Macaca mulatta: one gene and its partner. The protein of the gene in region 1 binds, or shares a complex with, the protein of each later gene. Links are inferred from orthologs where the notes say so. Each region holds a gene or a part of one and is shown on either strand. Other genes may lie near its edges.

Region 1 (9,568 bases):
TTGACTAGGCTGGTCTTGACCTCAAGAGATCAACCCATCTTGACCTCTCAAAGTGCTGGGATTACAGGCGTGAGCCACTGCATCCGGCCCACAACCAAAACTTAATGCCATGCAGCACATATTAGTAGTATTTAACTCAAGTAAAGAAAAATCTATTTCTGTAGGACACACACTTAACAAGTGAAATGCTGGCAGCAATTTAACTAAGACTTCACCAGTTCTTTAAACAGAAAGAAAAGACTCACGCACATAGTCTTTTAAGATTTACAATTTTTATTTTTTCTACAAAATCATGGTAGCAAACCAATTATTTATAACTATTTACCTTAAAATTAAAGCTTTCTTTTGGGAATTTTTTTTTTTTTCCGAGATGGAGTCTTGCTCCGTCACCCAGGCTGGAGTGCAATGGTGCAATCTCAACTCCCTGCAACCTCCGCCTCCCAGGTTCAAGTAATTCTCCAGCCTCAGCCTCCCAAGTGGCTGGGATTACAGGTGAGCGCCACCATGCCCAGCCCATTTTTTGTATTTTTAGTAGAGACAAGTTTCACCATGTTGGTCAGGCTGGTTTCGAACTCCTGACCTCACAATCAGCCCGCCTCGGCCTCCCAAAAGTGCTGGGATTACAGGCGTGAGCCACCGTGCCCAACGCAGGGAATTTTTTAAAATCAGTTTTCGTGTAACTAAATTTCTACCACTCAAATTCATAAATTCATTTAGCAAAATATCAAAAATTTCAAAGTTTCTACAAATGACAATTTTAAGTAAAATAACATGGTTTGGTAGTTAAGCAAAATAATAGCTGACACCTAAAATGGAATTTGGGGAAGATACAAAAAAATGATTCTGAGAGAGGCCGGAAGGCAGCTGGTATTTGGTAGCCTTTGTAGAAAGGCAACATTTAGCTGCTTTATAATTATAGACTGGGCTGGGTGTGGTGGCTCACACCTGTAATCCCAGCACTTTGGGAGGCCAAGATGGGCAGATTGCTTTAGTCCAGGAGCTCAAGACCAGCCTGGACAACATGGCAACACCCCGTCTCTACAAAAAAAAAAAAAAATACAAAAAAATAGTCGGGTGTGGTGGCATGCACCTGTAGTCCCAACTACTTGCGTGGCTGGAGCTGGAGGATCACTTTAGCCTGTGAGGTGGAGGCTGCAGTGAACCATGCTCCAGCCTGGGTGACAGATTGAGACCTTGTCTCAAAAAAACAAACAAAACCAAGCAATCAAACGCACACATAATTATAGACTGGAATATCTGGTAAACCCTAAATAGCTCTAAAAAGAAGGCAAAGAGAAGGTAATGTTTTATATCATTTAAAAGTGATATTTCCCTTTTGAGGCTGGGCACGCCTGTAATCCCAGCACTTTGGGAGGCCGAGGTGGGTAGATCCTGAGGTCAGAAGTTCGAGCCCAGCCTGGACAACATGATGAAACCCTGTCACTACTAAAAATACAAAAATTAACTGGCCGTGGTGACTGATGTTTGCCTGTAATCCCAGCTACTTGGGAGGCTGAGGCAGGAGAATCACTTTAACTTGGGAGGCAGAGGTTGCAGTGAGCCCAGATATCACACCACTGCCCACTGCACTCCAGCATGGGTGACAGCAAGACTCTCTCCAAAAAAAAAAAAAAAAAAAAAAAAGGTTAGGACCGGTGATCTTAGCAGTGGGCAAAGAAGGGAAAAGTAACGGTACTTTTCCCATCCAGCTGCTGACAGTCACAATGATGTACTGAATGTCTTGGGCTGGTGTCCCATCAGTTGACAGCCTCAAGCTGCAGGAACTCCCCAGTCTCAGTCCTGCATCCTGCTCATTAGGAAACCACCACCACACAGGCGGCAAATCACTGATAATAAAGCCAGCCTTGGGGCTGAAAACGAGTCACAAGAACACCAGCAAAATTTCCATAATCCCCAAAGAGGTAATGATTTGCTCAGACTTCAAGTAAATTGTTCTTATTTATTTGGGTGAACATTATACGGTGTTCAAGTTCCATAACTTTTTAAGTGGGAATACGGTACAAAACTTAACTAAAGCTAATTCCCTTTTTTCAGTTCAGAGGCTTGTAAACGAAGACAAAGGGATAGACAATTATCGCTGGCTGTGAGCTGTTGTGGGCACTCCATTATCGACACATTCCTGAATCGGTAATGGCGTGCTGAATTCCAGCCAGCTGTAGGCCAGAGCGGCATCACTTTTTAAAAGTAACCACTTTCTCCTTTCTTGAACATAGGTGATGGCTGCAAAACACTGAATGTACCCAATGCCACTCAACGGCACATTTGAAATGTGATGTGACTATGTTAAAGTTATGTTATGCAACTTCTACCTCAATAAAAACACAACGTTTTCTTCACTCTTTTCAATAATTCAGAGAGTGGCTTAATAAATAAGGCTTCCCTGAATATAAGAGATGAACTCCTACCCAAGGTCTGCAGTTAATCCAGGACTGCAATGAGGATGAACATTTAGCACCATGTTGAATCTCAGTAGAATTCAAAAGACACATAGGAGATTTCCAAAATAATCGGAAAAATACGTAATATCTGCTTCAGTTACTGTGAAGGCTAACACATGAATAGCAAGCTGTATGATCTGTATTCTTTCCCTCAAGAAGAGAACAATTCAAGCCACATGACTCAGAATAATGGTTGGCAGAACTCCACCTCTGAAGAGTCTACAGAGGTACCATTACTCCATTAGTGATAATGGCTATTGATCTCCTGGAAAAGCTGGGCGGGGGGGGTGGCTAGGGAATGGAATATTTAAGATAGTAAGAATTTGAAAGTCTACTGATCCCACTAGGAAGATTTAGAAAAATTATGATAGCCTTTTGCCACCTTTGCCCCCACCACCCCTCACTGAATTAAACTGCTTAACCCAGTAACTTCAACAAAATTAGTAGCCCTGAACCTTTTCTCCCCCCGAGGCAAGTACCAGTAGCCTACTTAAAATATTAACTTCTCAAGAGACTATTAAAAGTCAAAGGACAAGACAATATTGTCTAATACATAGGATACATCTAGGTATTCAATCTCCTTCAATACAAGACTAAACAAGTGTCTTAAAAGACCTAACATTCCTCTTTCCTTCTTTTCAAAATACTGGATAATACAGTATTTCTGTCCTGGTTGCCCACACAGAACTATCATTCTGCACAGATTCCAATAGTGTTAGCACTAGGATAATTTCATTAAACTCAAATAAATTTTAATCCATCAACAGGATGATTTCGGCCTTAAAAGAGAGCTCACTTGAGTGGTAAGACTGGGTTCTTTCTCTGCAGTTTCCAAATTCTCCATGATGACTTTTATAAACAGGAAGACAATTTCTTAGGTAGTTGCCATTTGGGAACACCTACTACATTTCTTATTGAATCCGCACAACTTTTTCAAGTACTGTCCCATTTTATAGATGAGGAAAATGAGGGACAGGGCCTATTTCCTTAAAGTCACAGGAAACAGAGTTGAAAAAAGGTTTTTATTTTACAAACTGTTCTTTCCTCTATACTGTGAAGGAGCAGAAGCACAAATCTAGTAAAAAACAAACTTCCCAAACCTCGATTTAAAAGGTTTTGGAACTGGTTCTCATTCCCTAACAGTAACTGAAAATGACTCAGTAGAAAGTCATCATTTTTTTAAGGTTTTTATTAAAACCTGCCAAATTCATTATCTGAAATAAACACAAGTACACATCTCATCTCTGCACTATTATCGTAAACTATATTCTTGTTTAAAATTTCTACTTTCATTCCATAAAATATATTATCGTTTAAAATTTCTACTTTTATTCCATTATTGCCCAGTATTTTAAATAAGTGAGATGAATGTTTAAAAATATAAAAAAAGCATCTTATAAACTTTTGTGAGAAAGCTAGCAATAGGGTGAACAAGGCCTAGCTAGAGGTCAGGGATCTGCATGTTTAAGGGTAAATGAAATCCTTATTTTTTGGACTAATTCTTATCTGGTGGAATATGAAGTGCTCGATTCCACCTGGCTTATCGGCTAATTTCTGCATTACCTTGGATAAATGCCATTTGCACACTCCCTACCAGCCCTTAGGTGCATTGCAGCCTCTGTGTCATTGTGTGTGACATCACTTGGTTGCTATAGATATAGGTGCGAGGTCACTCGCTTTCCTGTGGAACTAGAAATACGGAAAAATTAGAAGAGTCTAAATTAAATAACACGAACTGAAGATATTTCCAATACTGATACCCATTAGAAGTGCAACTTACATCATTTGAGCATTAAAACCTTGTAAGACAGCAGCTGTGGCCATAGCAGTATTCCGAATTTCAGAACCGGTTCTCTTCTTTAATAAGACAAAAACATTTCTTTGTTAAAATACCTGGTTTAAATGTAAAGGTATCAGCATTGTCCTCTTTTGAGAACCAGTAAAGTTATTCAAGAATTGATCTGTAATATCAATAATGCTTCATTTAAAAGATGTAACATGCAAGGTACACTCCAGCATCCACTTTACAATGGAGATGCATTTGAAAAACCTTTGTTACATAAGGCAGGAAATTAAATATTAAGATAGTGGGGGCCCGAAATCATTAATTTTCTACCTTTCATTTCATAATGTTCAATACTTCCCCCTCCTCTAATATCAAACTGGTTGACAGCCCATTAGATAAATGTAGTGTTACTGACAAAATGGTGCAATACAGGGAGGAATCTGCAACCCAGACAAAATGCGACAACTGGAGATCAGTATTCTCTTTTCATCAGCATGAAGACGTACTCGCTTTAAAAAAAAAAAAAAAAAAAAAAAAAAGCCTCAGATGCATCTAACGACCAAAAATTTTTAAAAAGACTTTTTCCCCTTTAAAATAACTCCTCCCAGCCTCCACCCAGTCTAGGCTCTCTGCAATATGACAAATGCAGAATCTTCTGGAATGACTTGATACTGCCTCTCACCACCGCTTTGTTTGCACTATCAGATCAGACAGAATATTTTTTCCCCCAACTTATAGGAATTTCACAGACGCGTGCCTGTATTCAAAAAAGAAACGGCATATGTCACACGGATCGAACCAGTCAGCTACATTCACCACCTTTTATTTTACAGGCAATACCTACCCTTTTCAATACAAAAACATTAGGGAATAAAATGGAGATGACATGTTGAAAACGATCAACGAAAACGCTAGCGAGACAAACGTTCCCCCTTCCTAAAAGCCGGAGGACTTGCTTTGGGGGAATGGAGAAAGAAGAGCCTTTTGTTAAGAAAAACGTGAGCAAGGTGGTTTCGATTTTGCGCCACGGAGCTCAGGTTTTCAAGAGACCCTATACAATGTTTCTGGGAAGATTCACAGGGATCTGTCGGGACAGACAGTGGGGAAGATTTTGGGGGGGCTGGGGAGGTGGAAAACCGGGAGACCTGCTGAGTGAATGGGAAAGGCGCCGCCCAGACACCAGGGAGAGAAAGAGGAACCGCATCCATGCGGTCCCCCGCCCCCACGCCCGGGCTGGGAGGAGGGGGGAAGTGGGGCACAAAGGATGCGCACGCCTCCCCGCTCGGATCCCCTGTACCCCTAGAGCCGCTGGGACCGGAGACCCCGCTCCCAAGTCCAGCCCCGCAGGACCCCGCCCCGCCCCGCGCCCGCGCCGGGCCAGAGAGGCCGCGCCGCGGGGCCCCGGGGACGCCGAGGAGAGGCCGCGTCACAGCCCGTGTTCCCGTCGGCTCTGGGGACCCTCCCCGGCCCCCCTCAGTGAGCGAGACGGGGCGGTCACCCCACCATCGCGACAGGGCGACGAAGCCCCGGGCCTTCCACGCCAAGGACCGCGTCTTCGGAGGGGCAGGGAGCGGCGGGGGAGGGGAGGAGACACTCACGTTCTTCATGGCCGCGGCCATGTCGTCGTAGCGCTCCGCCTGCTCGGCCAGCCGGGCTTTCTGCACCAGTTGCTCGCGGTCCACCATCTTCGCGGAGCTGGGTCTGGCCGGAGAAGGAGGAGGACACTGGGGTGGCGTGAAGGGCTTGGAGGGCGCGATTGGAGCCCAAGTGCCGGAGAGGACCGACCCACGGAGCGAGCGGCTGAGGCGGCGGCTGCGCGGAGGAGGCGGCTGGAGCTGCGACCGCGGGACCGGGAGCGAGGCGGCTGCGGCTGCTGTGCGTGCCACGGACGGACAACCCCCTGCGGCCCCGCCCACGCCGCATGACGCAGGCAGGCCCCGCCCGCTCGTCCGCAAGCCCCGCCCAGGCCCCGCCCGGGCCCGGCCGCGGCTAGAGCTCCCCGCTCCCCAACTCGGCTCACTGCGCGTCTTCCGGGCACCACGTCCTTTCCCACTGCGCCCCCACTCTCCTCTTTATTCACTTCACTCCTCAGTTCCCTCACCCCAGCTTCTCCAGACGCCCCCTTATCCCTCTCCCTTCAGCCCCCCGCCCCGCCAGGCCTCCGACGCATGGGCCCTTGGGAGTTGTAGTGTAACCTGCCGTGGGCCGAGGCGTTGAGAAGACCGAGGACAAAGGGGCGGTCAAGACTACAACTCCCAGCGGAGGTAGCGCGCAGGCGCAGGAGGACTGGGGGGGTGGTTCGAATCCCGAGGCCGCTGGGGACCCCTGGCGGGGATCAGGGCTGCATCAGTCCCTGCGAGTGCTGATTCACCGCCCCGCCCCATATTCTCCGGGAAATTACGAGAGGAGGGGGCAGGGGCCTCAGTCCTAGACCCTGTTTCCGAGATCACGTAGCAGGTCGTGGTGGGGGAAGGATAGGAGGCGCGTCCTTTGTAGATCCAGACTCTCAGTGTGGTGCCTGCCCGCGGGATGGCTGAATTAAGGGGCCAGACTCGGGGGACTGTCACCTCCTCCCCCTACGAGCTTCCACTAACCCCCCACCCCACCTTGAGGCTCTTGGGCCTGACTAGGTGAAAACAAGGACGAACGACAAATACCGGCTGGCCACACTGGTTGGTTTCCAGAAAGGATGCAGCTGCCTGCTGGCTGACCCTGGAGAACCCCTTCTTCCTCTCCAGGGTGGAGTGCTAAAGATTCAGTTCAGCTACCAGGAGCCTACTCCACGCCTTAACGGGCTGTGTCTGGGGCTTAGTTGTCCAGCCCTTCTCTCCCCTCCTAGGCATACGTACCTACTGAGGTCACGCTGATATATTCTCGTTCATATTATTCCACGTAGCTTAAAGATAGACTAGGTTTTTTTGCTTTGTTTTGTTTTTTGTAGAGACGAGGGTCTAGCTTTGTTGCCCATGCTAGTCTCGAACTCCTGGGCTCGAGCGATCCTCACGCCTCGGCCTCCCAAAGTGCTGGGATTACAGATGTGAGCCACCATGCCTGCAGGCCCCATAGTTTTGACTACACATTTTATTTACTTTATGTATTCAACAATTATCTGTGAGAAGCTACTGTGTTCCAAGCCCTATTCTAAGCCACAAGGTACAGTAGTGAACAAAACAGAAAAAAATCCCTTCCCAAGAAAATAGGCAAGATATGTACAGTATGCTAGAAGTCAATAAGACGTGAGCTTTGAGGTTGCAGTGAGCTGAGATCGTGCCACTGCACTCCAGCATGGGTGACAGAGCGAGACTCCATCTCAAAAAAAAAAAAAAAAAAAGGAAATGAGCTTTGGCTGGTCTTGGTGACTCACACCTGTAATCCCAACACTTTGGGAGGCCGAAGCGGGTGGATCATCTGAGGTCGGGAGTTCAAGACCAGCCTGGCTAATGTGGCGAAACCCCATCTCTACTAAAAATACAAAAATTAGCTGAGCGCCTGTAATCCCAGCTACTGGGGAGGCTGAGGCAGGAGAATCGCTTGAACCTGGGAGACGGGGGTTGCAGTGAGCTGAGATGGTGCCATTGCACTCCAGCCTGGGCAACAACAGCGAAAATCCATATTAAAAAAAAAAAAAGTGAGCTTTGCAGACGCTGCTGCCGCCAGGAGTACTCTACTGCTGGCCATGGTCAATCTCATCGTGTTCTTTGACATTATGGTCAAGCCCTCGGGCTGCGTCTCCTTCAAGGTTAGGGGCCTGGAAACCAAGAAGCCAAGAAGTGACCTCTGCAAACCATAAAGCCATGTTAACATATCAGAGCTGTTAGCAGACAAGGTTCTAAAGACAGCAGAAAACTTTCATTTTCTGAGCACTGGAGAGAAAGGATTTGATTATAAGGGTTGCTAGTACTCTCTTTCTTTTTTTTTTTTTTTTTTTTTTTTGAGATGAAGTCTCGCTCTGTAGCCCAGGCTGGAGTGTAGTGGAGCAATCTCGGCTCACTGCAACCTCTGCCTCCCGGGTTCAAGCGATTCTCCTGCCTCAGCCTCTTGAGTACCTGGGATTACAGGCATGCGCCACCACGCCCAGCTGATTTTTGTATTTTTAGTAGAGATGGTGTTTCACCATATTAGTCAGGCTGGTGTCGAACTCCTGACCTCATGATCCCTCCGCCTCAGCCTCCCAAAGTGCTGGGATTACAGGCGTGAGCCACCGCGCCCAGCAAGGGTTCCTACTTACACAGAATTATTCCAGGGATTATGTGTCAGGGTGGTGACTTCACACACCATAATGGCACTGGTGGCAAGTCCATCTATGGGGAGAAATTCGATGACGAAAACCTCATCCTGAAGCATACAGATCTTGGCATCTTGCCCATGGCAGATGCTGGACCCAACACAAACGCTTCCCAGTTTTTCATCTGCACTGCCAAGACTGAGTGGTTAGATGGCAAGCATGGTGGTCTTCGGCAAGGCGAAAGCAAGCATGAGTATTGTGGAGGCCATGGAGTGCTTTGGGTCCAGGAATGGCAAGACCAGCAAGAAGATCACTATTGCTATGGCCGGGTGCAGTGGCTCACGCCTGTAATCCTAGCACTTCGGGAGGCCGAGGCAGGCAGATCACTTGAGGTCCAGAGTTTGAGACCAGCCTGGCCAACATGGTGAAATTCCGTCTCTACTAAAAATACAAAAATTAGCTGGGCGTGGTGGCAGGTGCCTGTAGTCCCAGCTACTCCGGAGGCTGACGCAGGAGAATCACTGGAACCTGGGAGGCAGAGGTTGCAGTGAGCTGAGATCACACCATTGCACTCCAGCCTGGGCGACAAGAGCGAAACTCCACCTTAAAAAAAAAAAAAAAAAATCACCATTGCTGACTATGGACAACTCTAATAAATTTGACTTGTGTTTTATCTTAACCACCAGACCATTTCTTCAGTAGCTCAGGAGAGCACCTATCCACCCCATTTGCTCCCAGTATCCTATCGTCTTTGTGCTCTTGCTACAGTTCCATTTGGGTCCCATGTTTGTTTGTTTGTTTTGAGATGGAGTCTGGCTCTGTCACCCAGGCTGGAGTGCAGTGGCTGGATCTCGGCTCACTGCAAGCTCCGCCTCCTGGGTTTACGCCATTCTCCTGCCTCAGCCTCCTGAGTAGCTGGTACTACAGGCGCCCGCCACCTCGCCCGGCTAGTTTTTTTTGGGTATTTTTTAGTAGAGACGGGGTTTCACCGTGTTAGCCAGGATGGTCTCGATCTCCTGACCTCGTGATCCGCCTATCTCGGCCTCCCAAAGTGCTGGGATTACAGGCTTGAGCCACTGCGCCCAGCCTGGGTCCCAT
Region 2 (9,668 bases), about 130 Mb from region 1:
GGAAGGGTGTCTAATTTCCCAACTCTCTTCCTCTTGTCATTATGCAAAAACTCACCAGCTGGAAGTGTGTCTGATAAAACTCAGGAGTGCAAGGCTTCACCTGAAGGCAGACAGGACCATCTTTATTGTCTAGGGAGTGTTCCACAGTATCTGTGGTATAGACAGAAAACCAAAAAACTAGTATTTAACTTAACCATCAATCTTAATATGTCATTGTAACTTCAGACATCTCTTGGAACCAGGTTTTGATAAATATTGGTCTCACTCACTCCCCAAACCTGTAGGCTTCATGAGGGCAGAGACTCTTAGTTTTAGCTCACTAAAGGATTCTCTGCACATAGCTTGCATGTAGCAGATGCTCAACTGGCTGAATGACTAAATGGGCTAGCTGGTAAAGTCTTGCTCCAATCACTAGGCTGCTCCATCAGCAGGCTGGTGGCCCCAAATATAGTCTTTTCTCTTTCAGCTTTATAAAGCCCAATTGAGCATGAACTTCCTGCCTATATACATGCTACTCAAAGGGCCAGTTATCATAAAAACTGTTATCTGGGGTGGAAAGGAAATGGGACCACCTATTTATAATACCCTGCCTAGGCGGTGACTCATGCCTGTAATCCCAACACTTTGGGAGGCTGAGGCAGGCAGATCACGAGGTCAGGAAACGGTGAAACCCCGTCTCTACTAAAAATACAAAAAATTAGCTGGGCATGGTGGCGTGCACCTGTAATCCCAGCTACTCAGGAGGCTGAGGCAGGAGAATCGCTTGAACCCAGGAGGCAGAGTTTGCAGTGAGCCGAGATCGCGTCATTGAACTCCAGCCTGGGCGACAGAGCAAGACTCCATCATAAGAGGGGGGAAAAAAAATAAAAAACAAAAAAACAAAAACAACCTCTTGCCTAAACTGTCCTACTAGCCCTTAACAAATTCACTGACAACTGTTCCCAGTATAAAGTATGTCTCAGCTGGGCGTGGTGGCTTATGCCTATAATCCCAGCACTTTGGGAGGCCAAGGCAGGAGGATCACTTGAGGCCAGGACTTTGACACCAGCCTGGGTAACAAAGTGAGACTCCTTCTCTACAAAAAATTTAAAAAGGAACTAGGTGTGGCGGCATGCACCTGTAATCCCAGGTACTTGGGAGGTTGAGGCAGGAGGAGCCCTTCAACCCAGGAGTTCGAGGCTGCAGTGAGCTATGATGGTGCCACTGCATTCCAGCCTGGGTGACAGAACAAGACCCCATTTCTTTTAAAAAAAAAAAATAAAAAAAAAAGGCTCATGTTAGGGCAAAGCCAGATACCAGACAAGAAAGAAGTCAAACTGGGATGTGGGACACCCCCCTCCTTTTTTTTTTTTGAGACTGACTCTCACTCTGTCGCCAAGGCTGGAGTGTGGTGGCATTGTGTTGGCTCACTGCAACCTCCGTCTCCTGGGTTCAAGCAATTCTCCTGCCTCAGCCTCCTGAGTAGCCGGGATTACAGGCACCCACCACCATGCCCAGCTAGTTTTTATATTTTTAGTAGAGACGGGGTTCCACCATGTTGGCCAGGCTGGTCTTGAACTCCTGACCTCAGGTGATCCACCTGCCTCGGTTTCCCAAAGTGCTGGGATTACAGGCGTGAGCCACCGCGCCTGGCCTGGGACCCCTTTTAGTCCATCAATTCTCACCTGTCGACAGGCGGACCTTCTTGTGAAGTGGACAGGACTCACACACCGGGAAAGGGAGACTCAAGTCGTGGTCACAGCTCAACTGTAAGAAATCAAAACTCATGATGACAGACCTTAGGGAGGTGGTCCGCTCCAAATACAACAAAATCTAGTCTCCCTCACTCTGACTTACAAATTGCTTTCCAGTCAAACTTTCCTTCCCAACACCCCATATGACTAAAGCTTCATACCGGTGGGAGTACATGCTGAAGCCCGGAAAGGGTGGTGAGCAACATATCCTCCAGGTGGCCTTGCTTGGTCTCCCTCAGTGCTTCACAGAAGGCATCAAAAGCTTGGGGACCCCTCTTAGGCAGCAAGTTGAGGAGTTCCACGTTCTGGCTGAAACTGCCCACTTTGGCCTAAGACACAAGAATAAAACATGGAATCATATTTACTTCTCTACCTATAATTCTATTTCTCCACATGAGCTTCCTAGTAGTGTCCTCATTCCTCTCAATAATTCTTTTTACAGGAAAAGATATGTTTAGGTGAAGTCCTTCCTGTTATTCTTGAATTTATATCATTTCTGTCAAATGCTCTATGGTAGAAGGGCATTTCCATTTCTTTAGAAACGTACAACATCCAGCTGGGTGTGGTGGCTCACACCTGTAATCCCAGCACTTTGGGAAGCTGAAGCAGGTGGATCATGAGGTCAGGAGATTGACACCATCCTGGCTAACACAGTGAAACCCCATCTCTACTAAAAATACAAAAAATTAGCCAGGTGTGGTGGCACCCGCCTGTAGTCCCAGCTACTTGGGATGCTGAGGCAGGAGAATCATGTGAACCTGGGAGGCAGAGGCTGCAGTGAGCCAAGATCGCGCCATTGCACTCCAGCCTGGGCGACAGAGCGAGACTCCGTCTCAAAAAAAAAAAAAAGGATAAAGATACGACATCCTTTTAATATTTTGTCATGCTCTGTTCCCACCCCTATGATCAATTTATCTTCTCTCTTTTGCCTCCAGATACCTGGATGAGCTCTCTCATTTCCAAGGTGATGATGTCCTTCTCCAGAAGATGTTCTAACAGTTCACTCAACAACAGCTGTTTGGCTAGCATCACTCGGTTCTTTTTTAGCGTTTCCTGATGGTGAGGATGCATGCCACACACTCCCAATATCCTACAGATAAAAGGTAGAGGGAAAGGCTGTCAAGTACACAATTTGGCACAGAAGAGTGGAGTGGAAGAGGCATGAATAGAAAGAACGAAAAAGAATAAGACTTCTAATAACGAAGATTATGCATATTTATTGAATCTGGTTAAATCAAAGACGTACTAAGCAGTAACGCATTGATCATAAGAAAATAATGTCTAATTCCTTATGGTTTATGTTCAGCTGAGATCATCTGAGATGAATGGTCTGACTAGGGGAGGGAAATGTCTATCTTAAGCAAAATAATACCCCCAAGCATACATATTTATGAGAAGAAATACTTCTCTGATAGACCAATTTTAATTAAGAGAACTATTTCAGAAATCATCTCACATTATTTAAGCTGGTGAAAGTGATGGAAGTTTATAATGATCTTGGATGAGGGCTAAAACAACGCTATGACAAAAACTCAAGCCAATGGCTTTAACAGAAAATAAATGAGGCTGACACTAACTCTCTTTCACTAATGATATAAACATATAATTACATGTTTTTTTAAAACTTTAAGTTCCAGTGACAAAATGGCACTAGAAATTATCAGAATCCCGTTAAGATGTGGATAAGCAGGAAGTATGACAGAAAGTCACAGTGGGTAGGTACTTATCTATTTACTTTAAAACAGACAGAGTCTCACTATGCCACCCAGGCTGGAATGCAGCGGCTCTTCACAGGTATGACCGCATTACAGAGCAGCACAGGAGTTTTGACTTGCCCAGCTTTTGACCTGGGCTGGTTCACCCTTCTTTAGGCAACCTGGTGGACCCTGGCTCCCAGGACATCACCACACTGATGCTGAACTTAGTGTGGACACGTGACTGGCATAGCACTCTACAGCCCAGAACTCCTGGACTCAAGTGATCCTCCTGCTTCAGCCTCCCAAGTAGTTGGGACTACAGGAATGTGCTGTCACCTCCAGCTAATTTTGCCACGGGCTTGCAAAGAGATCAGCTTCTGCTTATAAACTAAAATAATCCTATTGCCAATATATGTCATCTACATGCCTACTTTACATAAATCCAGAGTTCTCTAGCCTGCCAAGTCACATTTTCCAAATATGTGACAACAGGAAGGGCAGCACCTGATAGCAGTGAAGATATAGTAACTTCAGTTTATAACTTCAAAACCTACTCTAAAATGCATCCTGATTTCTAAGGTGTTAAAACAGGAAGGGAGGCCGGGCACGGTGGCTCATGCCTGTAATCCCAGTACTTTGGGAGGCTGAGGTGGATAGATCACCAGAGGTCAGGAGTTTGAGACCAGCCTGGCCAACATGGTGAAACCCTGTCTCTACTAAAGATACAAAAAATTAGCTGAGTGTAGTGGTGCATGCCTGTAGTCCTAGCTACTGGGGAGGCTGAGGCAGGAGAATCGCTTGAACCTGGGAGATGGAGGTTGCAGTGAGCTGAGATTATTCCACTGCACTCCAGCCTGGATGACAGAGCAAAGACTATATCTAAAAAAAAAAAAAAAAGGGGAGGGGAAAAATGTGTATCTTACAATCAGTGAAATACCACACATCTATGGAATGGATGCACTTGGCTTGGAGATGTTATTGGGTGAGAGATTTATAGTTAGAAGAGGGAAGAGCAGGATCCTGGAGGAACTGAGAGACCTAAGATAGCAGGTGGGATCCTAAAGCAGACAAAGTGGGTTGGAAGCAGTCAATGAATCTGAGGTTTGGAAAAGTGAGTCTGAAACTCCATTTTTCCTTATTTTTACTGTCATATTTCCATTACCCCAGACTTTCAGTAAAAACCGGCTATAAGAAAAAAAGCTATACAAATAAAAAAATCCATTTAAGAATGAATCACTTTCGAATACATCAAAGCAGTAATAACGATCACATATAACACTGCAGCTGGGATACCAACTAATGGTGCAGCAGATTTCTTCCATTAGTTTACCAGTAGTATTCGCTCCTTAAATTGTTCTCTTTCTCTTTTTCCATGACAGCACCTGGGAGTCTTCTCTCTGCCTACCCAATTCCTGTTTTCTTTAGAGGGCCTTTGGCCTCCCCTTAATGTTGATGTTCCATTAGGGACGCCCCTTCAAAGATCCTTTCCCTAGACAATCTCACCCATACTTGCAACTTACTGACTTAACAGTTCTTAACTCTCTCGAGTTCCAGACTTGAATTTTCAATCAACTCTTTAGTTTTAATCTGAAGCATCAACCACTCTGCACACCCGCTCCTTCCTCTACTCCATAGTATGAGAGTCTTAAACGTGAACATTACAAAAGTTTCCAATCATTTAGAATTTCAGGACACAACTGGAAGGGGAGGAGGGGTGAAGGGCACCACGGGAGTTCCTACGTCTTAATTCTGTGTCCTTCTGCAGGTTCCCTTTGCGAAGACCTTAATCTTCAGTCTCGAGCGGGAGGCATTACAATGTTCTCCTGGGTGATGCCTGCCATGAAATGGAAAGACCGGGGCAGAGGCATGGACACTTGGAGCCACAGGAACCCCCCTGTTCTGCCAAAAGTACTCAATTTCCAAACCCTGTACTGACTTCTTCGAAAATCTGGTGATTGTATGCAAAGCCATGCAGATCACGATACAGTCGATACAAATCAAATGCACATCAGGCAGAGCACCGAGGTCTGCAGAAGGTCTCGGCGGTTTTTAAGGGGGCAGAGTACAGTCTTTTTATAGTCTCCCTCATAAGGGAGCCAGAGGAAAGGATGAAGAATCTTCAAGAGAAGCCAAGAGTGGGCAGGACTGCAAGGAGCTCCCCTTATTTAGAACCCTCGTGGGTTGAACAAAGGGAGGCTAGGGCAGTCTTCTTCCACGAGGGACAAGGCCAAGAGGTCCGCCCGCGGGCCCCTGCGCAGTCAGGCTCGGAACTGCTTGGCGGGGCCTCCCACCCTTGGCAGGAAGCGCGGACAAGGCTGCTTTCCGGGGCTCCGAGGGGAGGGGGCTGCAGGGCCGCACGCCTGGGGCCCACGTTCCCCTTCCCTGGACCCTCCCTTAGTAGCCCTAAGACTGTTCCTTACTTACCTGCGTCCCCTGTCAGCGGCCATCAGCTCCTTGTGCTTGAAGGTAGACCAAGACCCTGCGCTCGGCGCCGCCATTTCCCGCTTTTCCCGGGCTCTGCACTGTGCACCGCCCACAGCCCAAACAAACTGGGGGCCGTAGCCTCGCCCACATCCCTCCCCCACACGCGGACACACATTGCGCCTGCGCCTGCGCCCTGCCGCGCCCCCACGCCAGGCCACCGCGTCCTCCCGCCCGGTGCGTGCGCAGGCGCAGAGCTCTAGCGGCGGCCGCGCGGGCCAATGGGGTGAAGTGGGGAGCTCGGCGGAAAGACAAAGGGAGGAGAAGGAGCGGGGCGGGGCAAAGGGCGGGGAAAGAGCGAGTGCGGGCGGGTGTGCTCCGTTCGGCCTGGGAATCCGATTGGTTATCGATTCCCGCGGAAATCACCCCGGTACCTCTCCCGCCCCCTGGCCGGCCTATGGCGATAACTTCACGGAGACTTGTGTGGCTGGAGTTTTGCTTTATTGAAGTTGAACGGTTGGGGCCAGGCTGTGGAGGAGACTGAGAGCGCGACAAGGTGCTGGACAGATACCCGCGCGGGGAAGGAAGGCTGGCTTAGGAGGGGGCGTCAGCTATGGTTTAGCAGCTTCCTGCGACCGAAACCTACATCACAGCCGCAGCACACAATTCCAGGAAACCTGGTGCTCAATATTGGGATCTCAGGAATCCGGACCGGCGGCTGGGGTGAAAGTCTAGCGGTCAGAGCGCAGGAGTGAGGAAGAAGCTATTAGAGACGCTTCGCAAGTGGCCCCGGGGCTTCATATGGATGATTCAAGAGGGAATCTCCTGGCCAGAAAGCTCACATGTTTCACTCTTTCTGGCCTTCATACCCACCCTCCACCTAGGGCCACTGACTCCACTGTTTTCAAATACATTGGGGACCCTGCACTGGGGAATGCTCTCTAGCACCTGGGCAGGAGAGGCACAGACACTGCTACCCATGCGGAGCAAGGATCACCAGAGCGTTGACTGAGTTTGCTCGTCCAGGAGGCTGGGGACATGCGTGCCCATGCTCAGCCCACCCCCTCTGTAGACACAATTGGTCCCCCATTCTGTTTATAGGAAGTCTTCCACCCTGCACCAGCAGCTGTCCCTAGACAGGGATTGGGAGACATGCACGTGGCTTGGCTTCCTATTATCTTGTGTTGAAAACACAATAGGCTTTGGGATGAGGAGTTAATGTTATTTACTAGCAGTGTACCCTCGTGCACGTTATCAAACTCCTCTGACTCTTGGAATCCTCATTTTTCAATAATAACTCACAAAGCTGGCAAGCCTAAGGGATCTAACAGCTCGAACAGCGCCTGGAACAGAAGCAATAGCCGTCACTCAGAGGTTACGTCTTCCTTCTCCACCTTCTCTGGATCACCTCCCTACCTCATCCTCAATTTAACGCTGGAAATATTGGATATGGGGTAGGTCACCAAATGTTGCCAGAAGACTCAAATTATGCCACCCACATTTCAGCTGGGAAGGGCTTACCGTGGCCTGACTTTCCTCAGGGTCCAAGTCCCCATTTATGATATTCAGCCAGAAACACTGTTTCTGACACATAGTAGGCACTGGAAAATGTTGGTCAAATGAACGAGGTCTGGTGTGGAGAGAAGAGAAATCTTGGGAGAGTCGTTTAAGGGGGTGCCCAGTTGTCTTCACAAAAAACACTATCATCATCAGGTTGACCAAAGCAGACATCATAGGCAGGGGGTGGAGTCAGGGGCTCTAATCTGGGGAGTGCCCCCAAGCTCTGCAGATCAGGAGCAGTGGACACAGCCCGTGGTCCCCGAAGCCGAAGGCTGATTGGAGTTCTTTCAGGGCTTCCTTCCTGGGCCATAGTCTCTGAGGCCATTCGCCTCTGTTCCAGTCCGGCTCTCCTGGACCCCTCTGGATGGCTAGGTTGTTCATCCTCAGGTGCTGGGAGTATCACAGCAGTGCTGTAGGGGGGTGGTTGGTCCAACTCTTGGGGGCGGCTCTGGGATTCCAGTCCCACCACGGCCTCTTCATAGGCTGGCACTTCAAAGGCTTCATTGTCCCTGAGGGAAGAGAAATAAGGCCATTGGTGGCTTCCATGAAAGAAGCCCTTTTTCCCTTTTTTTTGTCTGCTACGGGCAAAAGATCCTGTGTTGGCCTCTGACCCCTCCTCCCGCTGATGCCAGTGACAGAGGAAACCAGAGACTCTATGCCTCAGAGACTACAGGGAGAGAGGGAGGGAGGATGGGCCCAAGGTGTATTCCTCTCCTGATGCCCACCCCTTAACTCACCGTGCATTGCCTGAGGGCCCTGGGCTCTCAGTCTGCATTGATTGGAGCTGGGACCGAAGCCCGCATTCCAGAAACCGGACCAGGAGATAGGCAAACAAGAAGAAGCCACCCAATGTGAGAAAGAAATAAGCAACAGGGGTGATGTCCGTCTTTATGCCCAGCAAAGCCAGCCCCAGTAGGAAGGAGGCGCAGCACAGGAGGAGAAGCGGCTTCTCCAGTCTCCCCAATAAGTACATTGGCACCATGGCCCCTCCCCAGGCTCCTGCAAAAAGACACATAGCTATTGTGTCTACACTAGCAATTGGTGTCATGGCTGTGTCAGATACCAAAGTAACCATATGATATTTCCTTGTTTGGTTTCTAGGTTCTTCAATCTCAAATCAAATAATCTGTGGAGTCCCCTCCAGCTCTGAAATTCTCTCTAGGTCTTGGCGTGTGTGGAATAGCCAGGAAACCAGCCCAGGAGCCTTGACTCTCAGCCATTCTGTAAGTTGACTGTGTCATGGCTCTGTCTTCTTTACTTTATCCTTCCCTGTAGTCTCCCTTCCAGCTCTGTCCCTCACCACCATCCAGGATCCGGTCCTGGGCACGCCTTGCCTGGGACTTCAGTGCACACTGGCATCTCTGGAATTCAGGTGGTGGGGCAGGCCCTGCCCTTCCTCTGTTATTGCTCCTGGATCTCCACCCCCAACCTCCCCAGCCAGAGGCCCTCAATCCAGCCCTGTTAGAGAAGGGGGGAGGGACCCCCACTTACCCTGTCTGACTCTGTCTTTTCCTTTCCTCCGGTGTCAGCCCATGCTCCAGGTGGAGGGAGAAAGTGCACACAGGCGCACCACAGCCACAGGGACACGACTGCTTGAGAAACAATTGTACAGGCAAAGGCCCAGCACAGTGGCCAGAGACCCTGATAACTCCTGTCCTCTTCTAGATAGACCCCACATCTGCCAGGGCCTTCCTCTACCCTCTGCTGATCCTAACTCGTTAAACTCAGTTTGCAAGTTTCCTGCCAGGAATTAGCCCAGTGGCTGGGAGGCGGTGGGCAGGGGAACCCTTTTTCCTTGTAACAGCAACAACCCGAGGCAGCCCATACCCCCAAAACAGCCTGTCAGAAGTTGCCAGCGCTCTGTGTAGCAAGGAATTGCAGATTCCCTCCTCACACCTTGGTCCCAATCCCATGACCCTCCCGACCCTCACACTCACACCTGTCTCAGGAGTTCGTCGCTCACCTGTCTCCACAGACTGCAGAAAGTAGATGGGGTGGGGGTGGGGGGAAGGGCCGGAGCGGGTAGGTGGAGCCCACTGGCCCCACCCTCTTTTTCTTTTCCAATCCCTCTGTTCTGGCCCAGTCAGTCTCCGCCCCTTTTCTCCCTAAGGCTGACTTCCAACTGCTGCACCTTGATTTGTTCTGGTTTTTACTCTCTCCACCCACCCCTACTGAGCCCTAATGAGAGTGCACCCCTTACTCCCAATGATCTTTGTACTTAGGACCAGAGTTAGCATTAACCTTTCCCTCTCAGCGC

Evidence for each region. Proteins that work in one complex are often made in the same cells at the same time.
Region 2: the proteins of YWHAG (region 1) and CASP2 are in contact, whole or in part, in a crystal structure (PDB 6S9K), measured with the Homo sapiens proteins. The link is inferred for Macaca mulatta from reciprocal best matches to the Homo sapiens genes YWHAG and CASP2. Residues at the interface, in NP_036611.2 of Homo sapiens: Glu15, Asn43, Val47, Arg57, Arg61, Lys125, Arg132, Tyr133, Pro170, Gly174, Leu177, Asn178, Val181, Glu185, Glu213, Asp214, Lys217, Asp218, Leu221, Ile222, Leu225, Asn229, Leu232, Trp233; in NP_116764.2 of Homo sapiens: Asp137, Leu138, Ser139, Leu140, Pro141, Phe142, Pro143, Val144, Cys145, Glu146, Leu150, Lys152, Lys153, Leu154, Ser157.

What each region holds. Positions count from the first base shown.
Region 1 is NC_133408.1:49,992,643-50,002,210, reverse strand, and holds the start of YWHAG (14-3-3 protein gamma), read right to left. Parts: upstream 6,170-9,568; 5' UTR 5,931-6,169; coding exon 5,844-5,930; exon of another isoform or gene 2,946-5,843; intron 470-2,945; exon of another isoform or gene 271-469; intron 1-270. UniProt on the Homo sapiens protein: Adapter protein implicated in the regulation of a large spectrum of both general and specialized signaling pathways. Binds to a large number of partners, usually by recognition of a phosphoserine or phosphothreonine motif.
Region 2 is NC_133408.1:183,310,289-183,319,956, reverse strand, and holds the start of CASP2 (caspase-2), read right to left. Parts: upstream 6,160-9,668; 5' UTR 5,929-6,159; coding exon 5,855-5,928; intron 5,265-5,854; exon of another isoform or gene 4,960-5,264; intron 2,824-4,959; coding exon 2,673-2,823; intron 2,063-2,672; coding exon 1,895-2,062; intron 1,747-1,894; coding exon 1,665-1,746; intron 151-1,664; coding exon 56-150; intron 1-55. Other genes in the region: TMEM139 (transmembrane protein 139), read right to left, coding at 7,518-7,920, 8,149-8,486. UniProt on the Homo sapiens protein: Is a regulator of the cascade of caspases responsible for apoptosis execution. Might function by either activating some proteins required for cell death or inactivating proteins necessary for cell survival.